Linked DNA regions of Tribolium castaneum. The protein of the gene in region 2 binds, or shares a complex with, the protein of the main gene of each other region. Links are inferred from orthologs where the notes say so. Each region holds a gene or a part of one and is shown on either strand. Other genes may lie near its edges.

The links.
Region 1: the proteins of AIF (region 2) and mitochondrial intermembrane space import and assembly protein 40 are in contact, whole or in part, in a cryo-EM structure (PDB 9GQZ), measured with the Homo sapiens proteins. The link is inferred for Tribolium castaneum from reciprocal best matches to the Homo sapiens genes AIFM1 and CHCHD4. Residues at the interface, in NP_004199.1 of Homo sapiens: Pro345, Tyr347, Ser500, Ser501, Leu502, Pro503, Thr504, Val505, Gly506, Val507, Phe508, Ala509, Lys510, Glu558, Asp559, Tyr560, Asn602, Ala605, Lys606, Phe608, Asn609, Ile610, His611; in NP_001091972.1 of Homo sapiens: Arg5, Glu7, Lys9, Asp10, Arg11, Ile12, Ile13, Phe14, Val15, Thr16, Lys17, His20, Thr22, Pro23.

The regions. Positions count from the first base shown.
Region 1 is NC_087396.1:19,225,624-19,235,820, reverse strand, and holds mitochondrial intermembrane space import and assembly protein 40, read left to right. Parts: upstream 1-5,293; 5' UTR 5,294-5,393; intron 5,394-5,461; exon of another isoform or gene 5,462-5,593; intron 5,594-5,721; 5' UTR 5,722-6,023; coding exon 6,024-6,267; intron 6,268-6,320; coding exon 6,321-6,490; 3' UTR 6,491-6,633; downstream 6,634-10,197.
Region 2 is NC_087402.1:8,004,397-8,015,588, forward strand, and holds AIF (apoptosis-inducing factor 1, mitochondrial), read right to left. Parts: upstream 5,716-11,192; 5' UTR 5,334-5,715; coding exon 5,246-5,333; intron 5,194-5,245; coding exon 4,997-5,193; intron 4,950-4,996; coding exon 4,773-4,949; intron 3,420-4,772; coding exon 3,216-3,419; intron 3,172-3,215; coding exon 3,041-3,171; intron 2,992-3,040; coding exon 1,761-2,991; 3' UTR 1,656-1,760; downstream 1-1,655. Other genes in the region: uncharacterized protein LOC103312777, read left to right, coding at 32-289, 339-478, 526-850, 1,296-1,508, 1,555-1,644; lipase 1, read right to left, coding at 5,936-6,085, 6,136-6,281, 6,332-6,416, 6,465-7,184, 7,236-7,331; lipase 3, read right to left, coding at 8,032-8,181, 8,230-8,457, 8,502-8,660, 8,711-8,957, 9,003-9,310, 9,356-9,466; lipase 3, read right to left, coding at 9,615-9,992, 10,039-10,194, 10,239-10,387, 10,441-10,858, 10,905-11,000. UniProt on the Homo sapiens protein: Functions both as NADH oxidoreductase and as regulator of apoptosis.

The DNA of each region.
Region 1 (10,197 bases), on a different chromosome or scaffold from region 2:
AATAATGAGTTGGTCTGGCAGCAGTTGCAGCTCATTGCGCTGCGGAGGTGTGTTGAAACGTCCTAATGACGTCGAAATTGAATAAAAAGTGTTCGTCGAGAGCCAGGGGCCTGTGTCGCCAGGAGGCAGCATGCAGAACACGTATAACTGACATCATAGCCTGGCTTAGTAATTACTGTTTTTAAGTCCAATTCGGAATGGTAATCAACTAGACGGGCCCCGTTCTCACGCACCACACTCTCCTCACTCAGGTCTTTCCTTCCTATAGAAACCCTTATCAACATCCGGCGGAGTTCTGAATGTCGCTTATCTTCTCTCCACTCGATTCAGCTTCCAGCCCACTCTTGCCTTCACGGGGAGACTCAGACGCACCGAGCGAACGAACATATTCCACATGTAGTCGCTCGGGAATGAAATAAGAAGAGAGGGACCGGTGCCCGGGGTGACGGCACGGCGATTTCGTTTAAATCAGAAAACAAGAGTCTAATTTCTGCGTGCTTTTCTTTTAATAATACAATAGGGGACTTGCACTAGATGCAATCTAATACCCAGAACTAACAATGTAGATTTTTATCGCGTATCCAGTGGGTATATGGTTTCGGGTTGGGATGCTATTATCCTCTTACGTACTTATTATACACCATCATATCGATCCCAAAGGGCGGATACCGCCGCTAATTTATTCTTACCTTAAACTAAATTAAAAGCGATTAAAGCAATTAGTCTTGGGAGGATTTTTTTTTCAATTTTCAGCAGTTTTTATAGAGTATCTGGGCAACTGGAACAAGCATTCCATTTGCAGTAAAAAGTAGGTGAAGAATGGATGATGGTGAATACTTGTTATGCAAATTACAAGGCCATTTAAACAGGAAAATTGCAGGACTAAAGCAATAAATATTTTTTCACGGAAAACATAGGGAAATTTTAATTTATTCGGCGCCGTTACCTGCACTGACAACTTGCAGCCGGCAAATCCCTCAATTTATAATAGTTTTTACGGCTTTCTGAGATTGTTGAATTTTTAACGGCTCATTAATTCAGCGAATTTGCCGAATGCAAATTTAATTTCTATCGAAAATGATCAAGTTATCACCGTTATCAAATATTAAATATTTATCCGGTTAGGCGTGGAAACACGTTTTTCAGCTAAATGTGCTTCAAAATAGCTGCCACTTGCAGAATGTTTAGTACGGGAGAGTGACATTCCGACTGGATTAAGTTTAATGAATAAATCACCTACATGGACCTACTATTCGCATTATCACTGATTAGATGTAAAATCAAATTACAAATACAGACGAAATTAAATTCCCAGAAAGATACATCCATAATTTTCTTGATTTATTCATTGTTTAATGGAGAAACCAAAAAAGAATATTACTTTATTCTTTATTAATTTCGTATACATAACTTGACTTCTAACAATTCCTTCTTTAAAAAAAGTCGTTATTTTTAAATTGACTTATTACGACCGAAATTTACGACTTTCTTACTAGCTTCTTTAATTAATTTGATTTTGGACGACTCCTGGTCTCCTGGCAAACAAACTTGAAAGCTGTAATCGACATATTTTGCCTGAAAACGGCAATTTTCGTACTAATTTCGCCTTTTTTGTCCGATTTTTTTTCAGGAAAAAAAGCTCATCAAGAGAGCTTTCAGCTGTTTAACTGAAAATATTATTTTGTTTGACAATAGTGGTTCGTTTTTAGGAGAATCAATTGTAAAATTTCTTGATTTTTGCAGAAAACAAAGCTTATCAAAAAATAAAAAAACAACTTGTATCAAAAACGTCTTCACCAACAATCACTTCCTAAGGATATTTAATGAATTGTTTTTTGTCTAAAATATTTTTACACTTGCACGTTTTTCACTTATAATATATTATGATGGTCCTTCGAACATTTACCAAAAAATCACGTGTACATAAAAAAATATATATATTATATCAAAAATTTAGCCATAAGGTTCCAATGGATATATCACAGCGTATTGGCTTTTATTGCATATTGCTAACTAAAGTTTCAACAGCTCCATAGCGGGAATATGGTTGTAATGAGGCTGTAATCAACATCAAGGTTAATAGAGCTTTCAGCTGAAATCAAGCACAGACAGCAGTATTGTTTACTGATTCCAAAATTTGGCTATAAATCTGCACAGAGATATCGCACCGTTTTGGCTTTCATGACTGATTAATAGCAAAAATTTTCACAGTTACATTGCCATAATATTGTTAAAATAAGGCTTAGGAAAGCTAAACAATGTCTCAGAAACATTTGTTTGTAGCATTTTTTTGCTGTAATCGATGTTTTCTAGCTTTATTAAATAGACCATCAGGCTTTTGCTGCTAGATGGCATACTCCTTTGAAGGTGTTAACCAGCTTAAAAATTAAAAATAATGCTGGGGTTGTAATTTGGCTGCGAGATGAGTTGAAATCGTGATTTACAGCTGACTAAAAAGCAATAACGTAATTCACAGTAAAAAAACATTCGATTCGGCTATGATGACGTTTTCTTGACTAAATTTTAGTTTCAATTGCTGTAGAAACGTTAAAATAAAGAACAATTTGTACAATTTTATTTACTGTTAAATAAATTGGAAAAAATACGTGTTGTTCATCTTATCATTTCGTTTGAACTTTCCGAGCTCGAGGGCCAGCGCTAGCTCTCGCCGGATTTCTACAATTTTCCCAACATGTGTAATAAACATAAACATAGCAATAATTAGCTGAAGAAAGCCGAAAACATCTCCAAGGAGCGCCATTTGTGCACAGATGTGCGTGAAATGCACGACACATTAATTTAGTATAACCACTCTTCCACCGCCTGTCAGATTATAGGCCTTTCGCATTAGGGGAGGACTTCGGAATCGTAAAACCTTCAAGTCCCAAACGAACAAACGAAACAATGTCAAAAAATTTCTTTGAACCTCTGTTGGATGTATCTCTACTTGGAAGTGCTTTCTTCTCCGTTCATCTGACCATTAACGAAATTGCGCTAATTCTAAACAGGAGTTATGACTTTCGTTTAATCCGCTGTCGGCTGGACTTTCAAGTTTATGTTTTTATAAGTGCTTTTAGGTTCTTGACGAATTCGGGCGTTGTAAAGGGAGGTAATGTTAACGGCCATCGGAGTTAGTTTATATGCCCTTAAATTGACTATAAAATTAAACGACTGTATTTATGCCGCACCACCCTATCCGACAGTGCAGGTAGTCGCAGGCTATCGTTGTGGTGATTGGAATTTTATTCTAATTCCGCTGATTAAGCATTCTGGGCCATAAATAAAGTGCAGTGCGAGCTGCAGCTCCTCTTTGATATGTTGCGTACAATAGGAGCCATGAATAGGGTAAATGTAGATGGGAGATAATTTTAACGATAACTTTGGAAAAATCGATGCGTGATTTAAATCGGCAACGACAGCCCGTGTTTAGAAGGAGACAGAAATCACTTCTCAATCAGATAAAGCGAAACAGACACGTAATAATGACCTGCCTTGTTCCGAACTCCTTAATTACCATTTCTTTTATCTCGCATCTCATAATAGAGTTTAAAATTCTTTTAATATTTCCTTCGGCCAGCGAGTTGTAGATTTTAATTACATGACGGATCGTAAATTTTTTCAATCTCAATCCGACTCAATTGGAAATGCGAATTTATTCTAACGAATGATAAAATCTTTGTCGTCGGCGCCCGTAATTTATATTTGTTATAATTGGGTTATTTCGCTGAATAATACCGAGGGTTCTTAAAATATAAACTAGACGCAATTTACCTGATGCCTGCAATAAACGAAGACAATGGCTAGGTAGATAACAAAGACTTCCAAAGTAGATCTGGCCTTTGTTAAAGCCTCTGCCGTAATTAATGAGTTTTCACCATCAACAATTAAATTCATTTGGGTATAAAGATTCATCATATTTTAAGTGCTCTAAGCCGTCACACAATGAACAATAATGTATGTTTTTGTAATCATTTGTTTTTAGTGGGACACTTGAAAATATAAATAATGCTTATTGTTCCAAGATTTAAAAATGGGCAACGTAATAAACCCAAATGCGTTTACAAACGTACTTTTGTGTGAAACTGCACTAATTCACGCATGAGCGACACAAATGTCGAAAGCTGTTATTATCTGAAAGACACACCGAATTATTTTGAGCTCGTGTTGCAAAATCAAACTTTTAATTTGCCCAACCGTTTTAAACGTGTAGTTATTGTGTCAGATATTCGTCTCAGTATTAATCAATAGTACAATAAATGCCGAAGTTATTATATTTGAGTCGTAAAAAATCCATTATTTCAGACAATGTTTTGCTGTAACTGTAAGGAACGCTAATGGTTATAAAAGTTCCAGTTTGGAAAGTTATTACGAAGGACGTCTGCAGATCCTTTTACAATTAGAGAATTAGATACACTAGTTGGAAATACTATCAGAAAGTTTTTCGTCGAAACGAAACTGCACTGTGGGTGGTCAAGGAGAGGTCTTTAAAGTTTACGAATGATTTGAAATTACATTATATTGTTATTACTGAGTACCTGTGTAATTAAAATAAATTAATGATTCTCCAGACTTTAAATACGTAAATGGACTGAAATTAGCTTCTAATTTTGTTGTTATCAAACAGAATTAGCATCTAATGAAACATAATGTCACAAAACAATTTATTTTTCTATTTATAAACTATGAATCACTGACCAACAAATTTCTACTTTTTTTTCTTTCAAACAATGTTATTTCTGTCAATTTGTAAATAGTTTTAATTTTTATTAAAATTTACGCTTTAGTACTTAAGAAAATTACCAAAGAAAACTTGTATTAAGAACATCAGTAGAAAGATAAAATATCACAGTATCCACAAGGGTAGATATTTTTTTTTAATTTATTTAACAATCTTTTTATCGTTTTGTATAATAAATATCTGTTAGTACTACAACCAAAAACAAAACTGGACATGGTTTAGGTTGCTTTATTTTTCTTAAAAACGATAATTTTGTGTTAGTTTTCACAACTCTGTTAAAAAACGACTCAGATCAACTGAGGAGAATTCTTAAGTTTTCCATAAGTTTCCTGGAAGAAAATTTTAATTTTTATGCAGAATTAGCTGCATAGCTAATAAACAATATTTTTGCTTTTTAAAATACTAATTACTTTATCAAATTATAAGTATAATTTATTAGTTTTTGAATGCTTGTAAAAAATAGAGAATTGAAATACGTCCTGCCATCTATGAACCAGCGGATGCACATATTGACTACAGTTTGGAGGCAAACCTATAGCTAGTAAAACAAGTGGGATAAAGAAATCTGTCAAGCCAGTCAAGTGATCCGAATCCAATGTCCCCAACCTTTAGATAACATCGAAAAACATTTTCTTATTTATTTGCGAAATAAATTGTAAGTTATTTTGCACTAATTGATCAACAGTTGTAACCATTGAGGCATTTTACTGTATCCCATAATTTTTATGTATTGTTCACCAAATTAGCTAGTCTCTTTACGTTTCCACGGGTGGCCTTCCTGCTGATTCTAGCTTTTTGTAGGTTAAATTCGCTGGAAAATTATTTCCCGGTTTAAAACAGTAATTTTCCTCAATGGCAAGTAGTTATGTAAATTAGAATGAGCAAATACTATTATTTAGACGTTTCCTTGTTAGTATATTTAATTTAGTTCACTTTCAACCACGTTTGTCCCATTTATCGCACTAATAATTGTCTTGTTCCAGGAGATTGCACGATAATACCGCCTATGAGGTAATAACAGACGCGTACTTTAAAAAACACATCGTTGATGCAGTGTCTGCGTTATTTGGAGAATCTGCAGCTTGTGTAGACATAGACGTCCTAAGATACAATCTAGCGATCAAACGCGGTATTTTAAGAGTACCCTCCGAATACTACGTGAAAATCCGCAGTAGTCTAACCCTGTGTGGTAGCTACAACAACATCAGTTGTTCCTACAAGATTCATAAGACCAGCCCCATTTTGCTGAATCTCCAGGGTGACAGTCGAGAATACGAGCACTGAAATGTCTTTCTGCCAAAGATTAGGGCCCCAGGGCAAGGATATAGTGATTTTTGCCACCCCAGAGGACCACAAGGTCCCAAGCACTGTGACTCTGCCAGAGCCTGACCCCCAGCCAGGGCTGATCCTCCCAAACGGGGACATCAACTGGAACTGCCCCTGTCTAGGGGGCATGGCAACGGGGCCCTGTGGGGTGGAGTTTAGGAACGCATTTAGTTGTTTTCACTATTCCGAGGCGGAACCTAAAGGTGGATTAGTCGGAAAAAAGTTTGCAAGTCGGCTGAATTTAATTATTTTTTAGGTAGCGATTGCTATGAATTATTTAAGACCATGCAAAATTGTATGCAAAAATATCCAACTTTGTACAACAAAGACTTAGCCGACGATGATGACTTTAGCTCGATGGATTCAGGCGACAAAAGCGCAGCGCCTAGTTCTGAAGGCGCTCCAAAGTCGGACAAAAAATCATAAGAACTTAAAGGCTAATCTAGTTTTTGTTATAGTTTAAGAAGACAATCTTTCCTAATTTGTCTAGTTTTTTCTAATTGTTACATGAATGTTACTACACAATTGTAACGTTTGAAAGTTTTTTTTTAATAAATTTGTTTTGCATTTGTTTTGTTTTGCGAATACCATGAACTGCAATTTAAGCTCTGGTCAGTGAAATTAAGTTGGCAACCCTCACCGTAGCGTTTGAATTTGATACTTTAAAGCCACAGTGTAAATTAAGTACAGAAAATATTACTTGGTTGATATAAAATGGTAAATAAACCATTGGTTATTAGACTTGATTGTTTCTGTCATTAAAAATACAGAATAACATAAAAATTTCAGGGAATTAAGTTAATTTAAAAATAGCATTGGAAAAGCAAAAAACATAATGAATAAATATTATGTTGTTATAACTGTTATATCTACGTAATCATTAGATTTTTTTCTACTTGATACCAAGTGGTGTGGAACTAATAAGTATGCGTTGAATAAAACTAAAATAATTAAAAATAAATAAAAGGTAGAGATCAGATCTACTTTAATGTCTTAAAAATATTAAAATTAGCACGAATAAAAAAAAGTAGTTGCTTTCAATCACTCAAGCTGTACAAGTGATTCTAGCATAGAATGTGCATTTTTTTAACTATATTTGTACTAATCATGTAGCAATTAATGCATTGAAGAGGTAAAGAAAGCTTAGTTAATTTTACTAATTTAGTTCGCTTTTGGATAAAATACTTCGTTTATGAACTGCATAACTCATTTTTTCTGCAAGTTTTTTTAAAACGCTTTAATAAATTACATAAATAAATTTCGACAAAAACGGGCCAGAAGCCAAAAGGTGTGGTGATCTCTACATCTTCATCTCTAAAGACTTGCGTAGTTTTTTGTAAAAGTTTGCTTAAACAAACAAAAAAACAAGTTAATTTATTTTTTTTATTTGAAACTTAATCATAGCTCGCAAAATTTCGTTAAAAACAAACTAAGAAAGTACCAAACTACATATTGAAAAAAAATTCAAAAACAGATAAAAAATCAAAAAAAAAGCACAAGGTGGTGGATACAGATGAATATAATGATTTTATGTAAATAAACCACAATCAAACAATAAAATATCAAGAATTTGTAACAGACAGTGCCACTGAAAGAATCTGAATAATTTGCATATTTGTAAAATTTATGTGTTCTGGACTACCTACATTTTTTATAATGAAGCAGAGACCATGAACTGTACAGATTATGCTGGAGATTATGAAGTAGCTGGTTTATGTGGCTCTATTAAACGAAAAACTTAAAAAATAGCATAATTTGTTAAAATGAGAGTATCATCTGTAATATAATTTGAACATTTGAAGAAAGAATTATCAGCGACGATTTTGGTGCTACATTAACATAGTTATTTAAATAAATGGGACGATAAGCAGTGCAGCTAACTCAGGATGGTTGCACCCCACCCACACGAAAGCTATAAGTACGAGAAATGTGTAAATTAACATTTAATACGAGCTTCCTCGTTCAAGCTCCAAGGTTGTATGTCAAATGCGAAAGGAAAATTCAAAGCTCCCGCTGTCTATTAGTTGCCAGTTGCGCCAACAGCTGTCGGGAAATGCAGTTCATGTTGTGGAACGAACGTCACAAACAGAAAGTTAATGTTCTCTACAGAAATTGTTATTAGTGTTGTTTTGAGTGTGTTTTGAATAAAGATTTGAGACGTTAGTGTCCTTCCTTAGCAGTGACTAAGAAGAACACGCGTATTATGGAGAGTAAAGGGAAAACAGCACCGAAAGATAAACGCAGGTTAGTGAAAATACAATAGACCAACCTCTTCCTGGAGTTTTCGGGGGTAATGAGCCAATTACTCTTCAATTAAATCGTTGTTTATCAAAGTTTAGAGCTGCTAGAGCCGATGGCATCGGCCTAGTGCCGTTGTCAGAGGCACATTTCGCCTGAAAATTTTCTCACTGCAAGAACCCATGCAACCTACTTTCCCCCAAGTCTCCACAAAATTTATTATTAGTATCATTCCGGAGTCCTGGTACCTGTGGACCTGTCCCAAGAATAAGTCGGGTTTTAGCACTAATTAGGCTCCATCTCGACGCTGAAAACACATTGGGTAATCCAGTGGATTGGGCAATTTCAAGTTCTTAGAACAAACTGGTTCCCTTCAGCGAATTAATTATGAATTATGGGGTCCTGAACATTTCATATTGTCATGCCATACTGAGTAAATGCAGTTTCATCGTAATCGGATGATAACATATCAAATTTTGGTGACTTCCCTGGTACATTTCCATTGCCTGCGGAAATTGGGCTCTAGCACCTCAGACAATTATTTTTATTAACTCCAGCTTTCATAACGTAAAGAATTGTTCTTTTGTTTGACCATAAAAATTGAATTGCACCAATTTTATGCTCAATGTAATCAGAAATAGGTAGATAAGAAATGATGCGTCATTGAAATACTTTTCAATTTTTGAATTCGTTGCAATTTGTTTTTTTTAATATTGGGGTCATTGCCACTTTTTAATTTGGCGTTAGTTACAGTTGTGCTCTATTAGTTTCTAAGAATTTTGTTATCAACAATGAATGACATTAAATGTTAAATTCCTAAATTCCTAATTAATATCTTTGAGGATCATTTAAATTTGCACAATGTTAAGCTAGAAAAAACGGTCTAAAAAATTAGTTCGTTTTGAATAATGATAATATTCGCCAAAACTTACTTTGCATAGTTTGCACTTGGCCAAAAAGAAGTTTAAAATATTTGCATGTGTTCTAAAGTTAGTGAAGGATATTTTGAATTCAATACAGGATTTTCGTAAACATGCTCATATTGTTTATGAAAGAAAAATGGATTAAAATTTTAGGTCCGACTGACTGAGAAAATCAAAATGATTTGTATGTTTTTTGCCAGAAAAAATCAAAACGGAAGTATGACAATTACCAAATTACAAGTGTTTGTTTCTTGCTTTATAGCTAGTTTTTTCTTACATCCATTTTCTCAATTGGTTTTGTAACCAAAAATGTTTGTCCAAGTTTAGAAATAGGAAGGATAAAACGTTTAATTTGTAAACTGTTGTGGGCTTTAGTGATACTCGTTAAGATTTATTTTCATTTAAATTGATGTGGAAAGTCGTCTCTAATACTCGTAAATCAAGATTAGAAAAGGTATCTTATTCATTCACCCCTGACAAAGAGACGCTATCATTCTCACAACCTTGAGTTGCTCAAAGACATTTTGGTGGTCACATGAACTTAAAATTCATTTTTACAGTAAATTAAAAAAATTGAAAATGGTTTATCTTGCACTTACTCGTTGGACTGTAAATTGTCTTTTGAGATTACATTCAGGTAATAACTTTTATTTGCTTTGTCAACAAAACCGTAAAATTTATTAGTACAGTCTCCGTGCCCAAATTAGACTAAGCAAATAATTTTGTTGTTTCTCTTGCGTAACATTTTTCATTTGGCTTAACTTTGATCAATTTCTGCTTGTTGGCGATACAGTTCATTTGTCGCCCATTTCATGTTCCCCTTCAATTATGAGCAGGTTCAAGGTTCGAATTAAGATTAAAGGGAACAATGCACTTGTATGAAAAATTCGACATTGACTCTAGTTTGGGGGCAAAGCAATTTGGAGAGAATTAAAATATGTATCCTGTTAATTTGTAAAGTGAAAAGAATTT
Region 2 (11,192 bases):
TGATCCGACTTTCACTTTTACGAGTTTTCAGAAAAAATTGGAGGAAGCTGCCAGATGCAGCGACATTATCGATGCACAAAGCTGTTTAAGAGATAATATTTTAGTTTCGTTGTCACACGTAGGGTTTGTCAATAAGTCTGGAGATACACCTCCCGTTTACGAAATTCTAGAGCAAGGAAAAAGTGGGGAAAATGAATTTCGGGTGTTTTTGGATGAGGACACAACTGGAAATTTCAGCTGGTTGTCGCAGGCGAGAAAAGCCTTCAAAAACTCATTGCATCTTTTTGATGTAATTAATAAACACACACAACACGAAAGCTAATAAACTCATTTTCCAGCCTTCTATCTTGGAAATTTTATTGGAAAAAATTCCCAAAACTTACGTTTACAGAAAAATCGAGCTACAATGGCCCCCTTCAGATTCCGTCTACTACCAGTTGCACCCCGAAGACTTTTCTGGCGTTTCCTTAATAATCGAGTAACATTTACCTCCGTTGTGATTATTTTCACAACAAATTTTTCCAGTTATGGACTCAAAACTGGCTTACTTAAACCACCTAATGAATACTCCGAAAATCTTATTTTTCTGATAAAACAATCACGGGCTTTTATTGGTTACCAACCGGAAAATTTCACCAATTTCGATTGGTTTGTCGGATTCATTTTTCTGACGTGTTCGGGAGATTTACATAAGTGCAAATCCATTTTGATTAATTTTACAAACACGCAAGTGACGTCGCTTATTTGGGCCACTTTTGGCAAAGAGTTTGATTATTTGTTACAAGAGAGCTTCCACCAACATTTTGCAGTTGTTTTGGAAGAGAACTGCTCTGGCTACCAAGCCTTGAAGGTACAATTATTGGAATTTAAAATGAGATTCAAAATCACTCTGTATCCAAAAAAAACAATAGTGGCGGAGTAGCGTTAATAAAATTTTTTCAAAAAAAATTTATTCTCTACAACACCTTATTTTTCATCTTATTACGAAGATATTATATTCCAAATTAATATTACTGTTTTCAGAAATATAAATCAGATTTTGCGGAGAATATGTGATTTTCTGTTAATTAACTAGTCATTACCTATTAATACTTTATGTAATTCCTTTTGTTTGCCCTTTGCAGCAATTAGTCACTTAGATAATATGTGATAACTGTTTTTGTCTGTTTTATTCGAATTGTTACTTATGCGCTATAGGGCTATATTGAACGAACGTTACTGAAAGTATTAAATAAAATTTAATTTAAGTCACCTCCAAAGGTAAAATTCATTAGAAATCACTAATGAAAGTTCAGGTTTTAGGTATTTGTCCTGAAATCCTGCTCCAGTCATGGCTCAACCAGTGCTTCTTTAATTTCCTTCGTTTTGAAGAAATCTGTAATTTCTTAGCATTCTCAGTTTTGTATCCTATTGAGTGTCTTATGTATTATTTTGTTGCTATTTTCCGACATTTGGACGACCGGATTTGTACAATCACACATTCACCTGAGCTCCAAGAAATACTTGAGGTATTTGCCGAAATAATTGTTTTTTTAACCCAATATTAATTTTCAGATGTGCGACATGAGCGAGTTTCGTTTAAGCGACCACATGCCCCTAATCGAGAAACTTACGAAATGTTACCGCAACACGCATAAATTATAATAAAGCAGAAGTTTTGACAAAAATGTGTATTTTTATCCTTTCTATATACATTTGAACAAACTCAAATCGATCTAAACTTCTTATCAAATTAAAATTAATCGCCGAATGCCGGAATGTTAGTCTTCGTGAATGTTAAACAGCTTCGCTACTTCATTCAGATCGTCATATTTCCTCTCATCCTTGAGAACCTGTCTGGCAATCGACATTCGATTAAACACATTCCACAGTACAATTCCTACAACCACATCATCCCTCAGATAAAAAATAACCCCTTTGCCGTAATCCTCCTTCTTGTCCTTCTTCTCCTCCTTGTGCTCAGTCTCGGCCCCAGTCTTCTGCTCTTGTGCTTCCATCTTCGACCTGATCCCTTCCCCGGTCTCCGTAACTACAGCCTTGGGCGTATCTTTATCCGAAGCTTTGGCAAAAACCCCAACAGTGGGAAGCGACGAATCGACAATTCCTATCGCTTCATACCCAACATCCGGCCCCAAATCCGACCAAAACATGCTTTGGTGGAGGTAGGGCTTAATCCCACCGGTCATATTCTCCCCAGCTAGGCGGCCAGTGACCACCGCATGGTCATGGTGCTCCACGCGTCGACGGCCCAACTTGACATCGTAAAAACACGCGCAATCGCCCGCAATGTACAAATTAGACCGAGCCATCAGCTCCGTATTAACCAAAAACCCTCCGAGCTCCGGATCAACTTCCAAACCGGATTTCTGCGCCAGCTCGGTGTTCGGTTCCACACCAACGGCCAGAATTACATTATCAACTCTTATCATTTTGCCATCGCTTAAAATTAGGACGAGCTTGCCGTCCTCGTGCTTCACTCCGATGACTTCGTTGTTGTTCACGACGTTAACACCCTCAGCTTTGACTTTATTAGTGGTCCAAGAACTGAGGTATTCGGGGAGGATTTTCCCCATGTTGCCATGCTCGCGGAAAACTTGGTACACCGTTTTCTTTTTTCTCTTACCTTTGCGAGCTAAAGCGCAAGCTAGTTCGCTGCCAAGGAACCCACCACCAATTATTGCGATGGATTTTGACTCCTCGAAAGCATCGTAGACCTCCTCAAAGTCGTAGATGTTGCGGAACACTTTGACTTTTTCGTCGATTTGGGGGTCGGCACAAGCTGCCTCGAACACGTTGAGCATTTTTGGGGTAGCACCTGTGGCGATGAGGCACTTGTTGTATTCAATGGCGTAGCCGTCTTCGAGATAAGCAATTCGGTTGACGACGTCAAGACGGGTTACTTTGTAGCCTCGAGCTACGGCTACGCCCCCATTTTCGTTCTTTAGCAAGTCTTGACACTTGATATAAAAGTCTTCAGGCTCGTAGTAAAGGCTGGAAAAATCGTTATTGTTGTTTTGTTGTTGGCTGTGAGAAAAATTACTTTCGTTCCGATCCGTTCCACTGTTTAAAAATGAGCTTCTTGACTGATTCTTCGTCCTCATTGAACCACATTTCTTTCGATAACGGGGGACGCATGTAAGGGTGAAACGATTCATTTGTCACAACTAAAACCTGATCGATTGTTAGTATAGTGTTTGGGTGGTTAAAAAAATTACTTTTGCGGTTGGATCAGCTGATTTGATTGCACGGAAGGCTGCAAATGACGCAGTTCCGCCCCCGATCAGTAAATAAGGAACTTGATTTGGGATCTCTTTTGAATGTAGAGGGTCTTTAACAGGTGCTCTCTTAGTTTTCTTTTTCTTTGCCGCCACTATTTTTTTCGGTTTGCTTTTATCTTCAAAGTATCCAACGTAATACAGCTAAAGGTTCAGTGTGAAAATAAAATTATAGGCCATTTCGGGACGCTTTGCGTGTGCGTCATTTTTCAAATAACAACATTACAAGTCTTTTTAATACACATTTATTAATAAATTAACAAATAAATCATTATTAATAAAATATTGTACGAAGATTTTTAAAATGTAGAACAAGGAAGATGTATTTTATGTTTAGAAGTTCTTTTTTACGTCCAGAAATTTGGATTACTTATTAAACTTACTTAAACAAGAGTAGGTAAACAAACATTCCTTGTATTTTATGTTGTAGTTTTTGTTTGATATTTCTGAAAATAATGTTTTTGCCTATGAGATTCAATTATTTCAAAAACTTAGCAAAAACTACTAGTAAAAAAACATTATGATTAACAACCACATATATCCAAAAATGCACAAAACATAGGGTGTTTTACTTATTGACAGTCGAGTCCTTGAAAAATTAACCAATGAAATGTCTTTGACTTGACATCATACGTTAGTGTAGTGGGTGAAAAACTTGTTTTATAATTTTTACGGGTTGTTTTTTCGCGTGTTTAATGCACAAATAACTGATTTTTTATCGAAAATGTGCAGCTCGCAGCCAAACGGATTACGCAGCTTTTGAAAACGACACGATGGAGGTTAAGGTTAGTTATTTTTCTTATGTTAAGTCAGTTTAGTTCTGTTTCAAATGAATACAACATACAATTATGCTAACCCTGAAAATGCAATAAAGCCGAGTTTTATTTATCTGAGTAAATTGAGGACGACAAAAGGAAAAGATGCACAGGGTCGGACTACGGTTTGGGAGCCTTTAGGGCCTAAACTAATGTTAATACTAATACTTTTTTCTTTACCCTGATTTTACGTAATTCATAACTTGTAAGTGATGTTTTTAATAAAAAATTGGCTTTACTGTAGAGAAGATTTACTCTTCTCTTACTCTTACGATTATTTTGCGCCGCAAAACCATTTTTTCAAGAGATGTTGTCAAAACTAGCCAAATTATTTACACACCCATAGTTGTAAATTTTTTGTTTATTTAGTGCATATGAGGTACTTACCTTCTTATCCAATTTTAGCGGATTCTGGCTTACTTCAAAAAATTTCGCGAAAGAAAAAATTATGATTCGTAAGAAAAGTTGGACAGTGCTGTGATAAGGAATTATAAAAAAAACAGAAAACCAAAAAGAACGAAAAAAAAAAATAAAAAACGATACAGCTGAAGTATAATCTGTAAATTAACGTTCTAGACTTCCATTGACTGTTTCAATTTGCATAGTTTTGGATAATCTTTTGACTTGATGACGCCCACGCAAACCGTTTTAGGTTTTTGTTTAATAGAAAAATTCTACATACAGCTCCTAGCGTCGCTGCTGCTATTAGAAGCCCCACAAGGGCGGCATTTTTGTAATTATCCCACTTGCTTCCCTCGTCATGCGGGCACTCTGGCGGGGGCTCCTGTTTAGCTTGTGGACATTCGCTTTCCAGAGTGGGTTTGACTGGACAATCCTCTGGATTAATGTGGGGCAGTTTCTGCAAATTTTTCATTAAGTGTGTCTAACAAAATATTAAGGAGGTACCGATGGTGGAGGAGGTGGGGGCGGGGTGCAAGGATGGATATCAACAGGTTTACACTCTTTCAAGACCAGTTTAGGGCGTTTTTGGGTTTTTTTCTCTTCACAAGCTTTGTTTTTACCATCTTGTACCTTTTTGTTCCCATCGTCGCTACTTTTTGAATAGAACCGTGTCGGGTGGGTAAACTGGACCCGCTGAAGGGCTGGAAATATCGGAATTCAAGTCTGGACCCACCTGAAGGTGGCTCAGCTCACCTAGACATCGGGAGGCCTCAACTGGGGATCTCTGGAGGATTTTGATTGTTACGTTCTTTAGTTGCAAGAGATGGTTAATCCGGAACATTTCTTAAATGCGTCGAGGTGGAAGTTGGGAGAATTTAATTGAAAAGCATTGCTGAGCTGAATGATAAATGACAAAAGTAAAAATGACACTATTATGTGAAATTTTTCAGTCTTGATGAGAAATACTGTAACTGTGAGGTCCCGTAGTCGTTTTGCAACAATTATTAGAGGATTAGAACCAACACTAACACTTTTTGCCGAATTTTTGAGCTCACGTTTTTCATCAGGGAAAACATAACCTCAAACTCGTCCAAGAATTCACGAAACGGTAAATAAAAAGATTAAAAGGCACATGAGTCAGTTACACAGTTTTTGATGAACTGTGTGGAAAATGTTCAAGTTGATATGAATATTATGTTTTATTTGCCACAAAAAACTAATTTTTGATTGTATAACTGGTTGTCTACACAACACATCCGTATTGTTATTTTTTTTTAAAAATTATTTCGAACAATTTTAATTTTTTGGTTTGCTTTGGATTAGATATTACTGGTTGAAATAGATCGGTAATTTTTATGTATTCACCGTTTTTGCTCACTAAATTTTAAGTGTATTCATGTGAGGAAGAAAAAAACACATAAGCGATCCTATGTAAAAATTTATTCAGTACTTTTGCATAACTTTAATTAGCTCTACATAGAGCATATTTACAACATCCTTTGCAAAAATGAAGTCCAAGTGATCGAATAGGTCGTACGGTATGAAATAATCATTAGCTACATTTCCAAGATTCTTTACTACAGTTTGCGCATCCTGAAATATTTCCAACTTAAAGTGTAGTCAATAATGAATTCGAGAATTACCAAGTAGTTCACCAGCTGGTCATTTTTTCCATAATAAACAGCCACAGGTGCTGAAATTTTCGACAAATCATAGGCCGGGGGTGTATCGGTTCCATAAATTTCCTTGTTTTTTTCTTTACTGCCAAAATCAAACTGCGAAAATCCACCTAAATAATTTGGATTAGAATTCAATTAAAAATCCAAAAGGGCCTTTTACCATTTTTGATAAGTTGGCCATAGTGATAAAGCTGTTTCATGGCTGCGTTTGAGGGTGCATTTGTAAGAATTACAGGGAATTTTTCCTAGAAAATAAAATTGGAAAAATTAAATAACCACTGCTTATAACATACGAAGTCAAATTGCGGTTTATCTTGTCCACCTATGAGACCGATAACATCTTCGCAGATGTTGAGACTGTCGGGATTTGAGCAAAAATCAGACGCAAACTTTCGTAGTTGTGCCAGAAGCGGTATTTCAAATATTGTGTATTTCTTTACTACTTTCTCCAACTCAAAGATATATTTTGAAAGACCTACTAAAAGCGTAGTGGACTGATGCTCCATATACGAGGCAGGCCCCATAAGTGAGGCAATTTTGATTTTGCTGTTATATTCTGGCCTAGTGGACCCCAAGACCATGAAGGCAGTTGTACCTTGAGAGTGTCCTACATAATAAATACTATCGTCACCGTTTACATCCAAGATGTAATCTATAGCAGCGGGCAGGTCGTAATACCCGATTTCATGCCAACTGAAATCGAAAAACTTCTCAGCATCTGCTACTATATCCAGAGTTGTGTGATTTCGCGACCATCCGTTCCCTCTAGCATTACCAAGCCATACATCATATCCGATGTCGGCCAAAATATAGGCGAGACTATTGTTCGGACCCATATTTACGTAATCGGCCGAAGACGATATGAGACCATGCATGAGCAAAACGGCCGGTCTTTTGGTCGAATTATCGTTGTTTTTACCATGTGGTATTCTGTGGTATGTTAAGATGTAACCATCTTCGGTTGTTATGTAGTGGGTTTCACACACGTAGCCATGCTTTTCTATCATTTCAACCTTTCGTAAAGGAGTTAAGTCAAATTTTTTATTTGAAAGGAAAGCACTTACTGTGTTCAAACCCACGTCCGAGTCTGCGGACACTTCACGTCCATAGAGGAGACTTGAGAGGAGGAAAATGATTACCAGTTTGGTTTGGATAGCCATTGCGGATCACTGATGAGAGGATTAGGACCACTAAACGAATTTATAACATCTACAATGGAACTTTATCGATTTATTTTTTCTTTTATGCATCTGATTTCTGATCACAATTGCACACTTTGAACTGTTAAGATATATCTCTGATCATCAGAGATTACAGATATATTTATTTGTAAATAATGGTCATTTTTGGCACTTATGCTTGATAACACCTGTTGGTAAATGATTCAACAAAATATTTTAAAGATGGAATTTAATAACAATAGGAGCTGTCAATACCTCAGATAAAACTATGATTAATAAAATAAAGAACGCGTCTATTTTTACATATTTATTTGCTCCCCGTGAAGTTATTTCCACAAGGAACATGGGTTTCACACACGTAGTCATGATTTTCATAAAAACTGAATGTAATGTTGTTGAAATAAACGGGAATCAAACTTACCTAATCTGATGGAAAATTCCAAACAAAACAAAAAATTGGCAACAGGAGATAGTGGAGACAGATATAGAATATTAAGATTTTATTAGCAAAGATTATCAAAGACGGTGATGTTTTGAAATAAAAACTTGTTTATTTTCCTTCATTTAATATAAATACATAAATACGTGTGTAAAATTGGCTATAATAACAATAAGAGTTTAGCAAAAAGCGAACCAAATGGAAAAATAGTTAACTATTTAATCAGTGTTTATTATTTGGCTAATATTTTGAGATTTCTTCTATAATTGCTCTATACAGAAGTTCAGGGGCATTTCGACCGTGCATGAAGTCGTTGTGATTAAAACTTTCCAAAGGCACATGATAACTTTTAACGACATTCGGCAAGGTTTTGACCACTCTCTCAATGTTCTAAAAATAAAAATATTAATTTTAAACGTAAAACAACGCAAAACTCACCTCCGTGTTTACAGTCCAGTCATTACTCGAATAGTATAAAGCGACCGGATTCGTGGTTTTCGATAAATCGTAATGTGGAGGTTCCTTTCGTCCGTATTTTTTCAAATTTTCGGTGACCCCTAAATCATATTGGTGGAAATTACCAGACTCCATTAGTTGCACAATGTGCATCATTTGCTTCGGCGAAACTCCAGCAGGAGTGTTAGAGAATATGAGGGAGAGAAGTGTCTGAAAATATTATATAGAAGAGTTTAGAATTTTGGAAATTTTACCTTATTTGTCTGTTCGTGGCTGTAGCCATGAAGCAGGAAAATGTGGTGTAAGCACAAATCCACAAACACTGAATTTTCGTTACAAATGTGGTTCAAATAATACGCCACTAGTCCGTCTCTCGGGAAGAACTCTTGAAAGTTGAAAAATTTCAGTAGGAACTACAAAATATTATAGTTACGTTTTTAAAACCCAGAATTGCTTTATTTACCTCCCAGAGACGCCTAAAATATACAAGAAATTTCAAAAGCGGGCCTTTTGGATTTTTCAAATAAATTGCGGGCGCCAAAGCCGTCATTAACTTAACTTTTTGCACGTATTCCGGTTTTTCTGATCCCAACATGAAGAAGGTTGTAGTACCTTGAGAATAACCAACGTATTGTATGGATTCACGTCCCGTAACTTCCAAAATGTGGTCGATGAAGGCAGGAATGTCGTAAACCCCGATTTCATGTAAACTAGAAACACAGCTCACGGTTATAGAAATTTCTAAATGTGATTACCTGAAATCCCAAAATTCGGCGTCTTTGTCGGGATTAAAGCGTTTGTGTTTCCTGGACCAAGTGGACCCCCTTGCGTTCCCCAACCAAATATCGTAGCCTCGGTCTGAAAGCAGCAAACTCAGCGCTTTGCCGGGGCCCAAATTAACGAAATCGGTGGCACTTTGCATGAAACCGTGCATAAAAAGCACGGGATCGCGTTTTGCAACATTGTTCTTTTGCCCAATTCGGTGCAGTGTTAAAATATAGCCGTCCTCGGTGACCACTTCGTGGGTTTCGATAAGGTAGCCGTATTTTTCCACAAGTTGCAACTAAAGTTTTGCGATAAAAGCAAGTTTTGTGAAAAGCGGACTTACAATATTTAATCCAGCGTCTGGATGTTTGGGTTTGGTCGTGTTGAAAATCTCGACCAGAATGATGGAACTGATAACAACCACCACTAGACCGAAAATATCTTTATTGAACATCTTCGGTGTTGTGAATGCGTTAATAAATAATGCAGAAGACTTGGGACGATTAGATAGAGGAAAAATGTGGCCTATTGACCTTGATTGCAAATTTGTTATTTTCATGTCTGTTTCCTTGTTATATAAGCAAACAATAAGCCACAACATATCAATTAGACTTTATTTCGTCAAGTACATCGTTGTTTAAATATTGAACAACATCTTTGGCCCACAGAAAGTCGAGGTGGTTGAAGCGGTCAAAAGGCACCAATTTGGCACCGAGCAAGTTCGGTAGCTCGCTTTTTAACCTGTCCACATCTTCGAGAGCTGCAAGCCAGTCGTTACTGGCGTAGTGTAGAATCACAGGGGCTGTAATTTTTGTCGTATCGTACAAAGGCGGGGTTTCTTGCCCGTAGCGAGCTTTATTTCCCTCCACTCCGTAATCATACTGCGAGAAATTAAAAGACTTTATCTCCTGGAAGTAGTGCAGGAGTTGCTTAATGCAGGACCCAGCAGGAGCGTTTGATATTATCACAGGAAGGAAGTCCTGAAATCTAGTTTTAACACCTGGACGCAATATTAGACAGATTTACAGGGTCCACTTCCCAGTCAAATCCTGCGATTATATTCAGGATCCAGTAGCAAGCGTCTTTGTAGTCAGAACTGTTAGTACAAAAAGTTTCTCCCAGTTCGGTTATAACGTCGTAGTGTGGAAGAAACTCATGCACGTGGAAAATCTCCACAAGTGTCTAAAACTAATGGTGTTTTCCCAGTCAATTCGTATTAAACTCACATTCATTAAATCGTAATGTTCAGCGATTTGAGATATCAAAGGATTGGGCAAGTGCCCCATGTAGGCAATGGGGGCCAACGCTGACATCAGCCTGATTTTCTCGTTGTATTCAGGTCTCTCGCTCGCCATCACAAAAAAAACTGTCGTACCTGCACGAAAAAATCTCCAACAATTTATAAACTTCATGGCAAATAAGCCAAACCTTGCGAGTGTCCGACGTAGAAAAGTTTCTCTTGGCCTGTCGTGTCCAGAATGTAGTCGATCTTGGCCGGTAGGTCAAAATACCCAATTTCGTGAAAGCTAAAGTTGAAGAACTTTTCCGCGTCCGTGTCGGGGTCAAGCGTTTCGTGCTTCCTGGACCAGGTATTGCCCCTCTGGTTGCCCATCCAGACATCGTACCCACTGTCTGCCAAGAGCAGCCCTAGGGCGGTTCCCGGACCCATATTGACCCAGTCCACTGAACTGCTAAGGAGACCGTGCATGAGCAAAACGGGGGGTCGCGTGGCTTGGAGGGTGCTATTCAAGCCTCGGGGGATGCGGTGGAGGGTTAGAAGGTAACCGTCTTCCGTTTGGACTTGATGGGATTCAATCGGGTACCCATACTTTTGGACTAACTCGATCTGGAGTATGTAAATTGATGAAGTTGTGGGTTTTGGGGCGACTTACAATGTTGAGACCTGCGTCGGGGTGGAGGGACTCGGGTTTGAGCGGAATGGACCCGATTGAACCCACCAGAAAAATGATAGCTCCGAGTTTGTACATTTCAAACGGTCGAATAGTTTTTGTGTTTGGTCCTTTTATATTTGTAGCTTGATGGCTACTCACATTATGCGATTTTATCGCGTTTTGTGGGGCAATTGTGTCAGATAATTTGATGATAAAATGACTTTTTGATGTGCGAAGTCACGACCTTGCATTAAAACACCTAGGCAGGATGTGATAATTTTATTTATT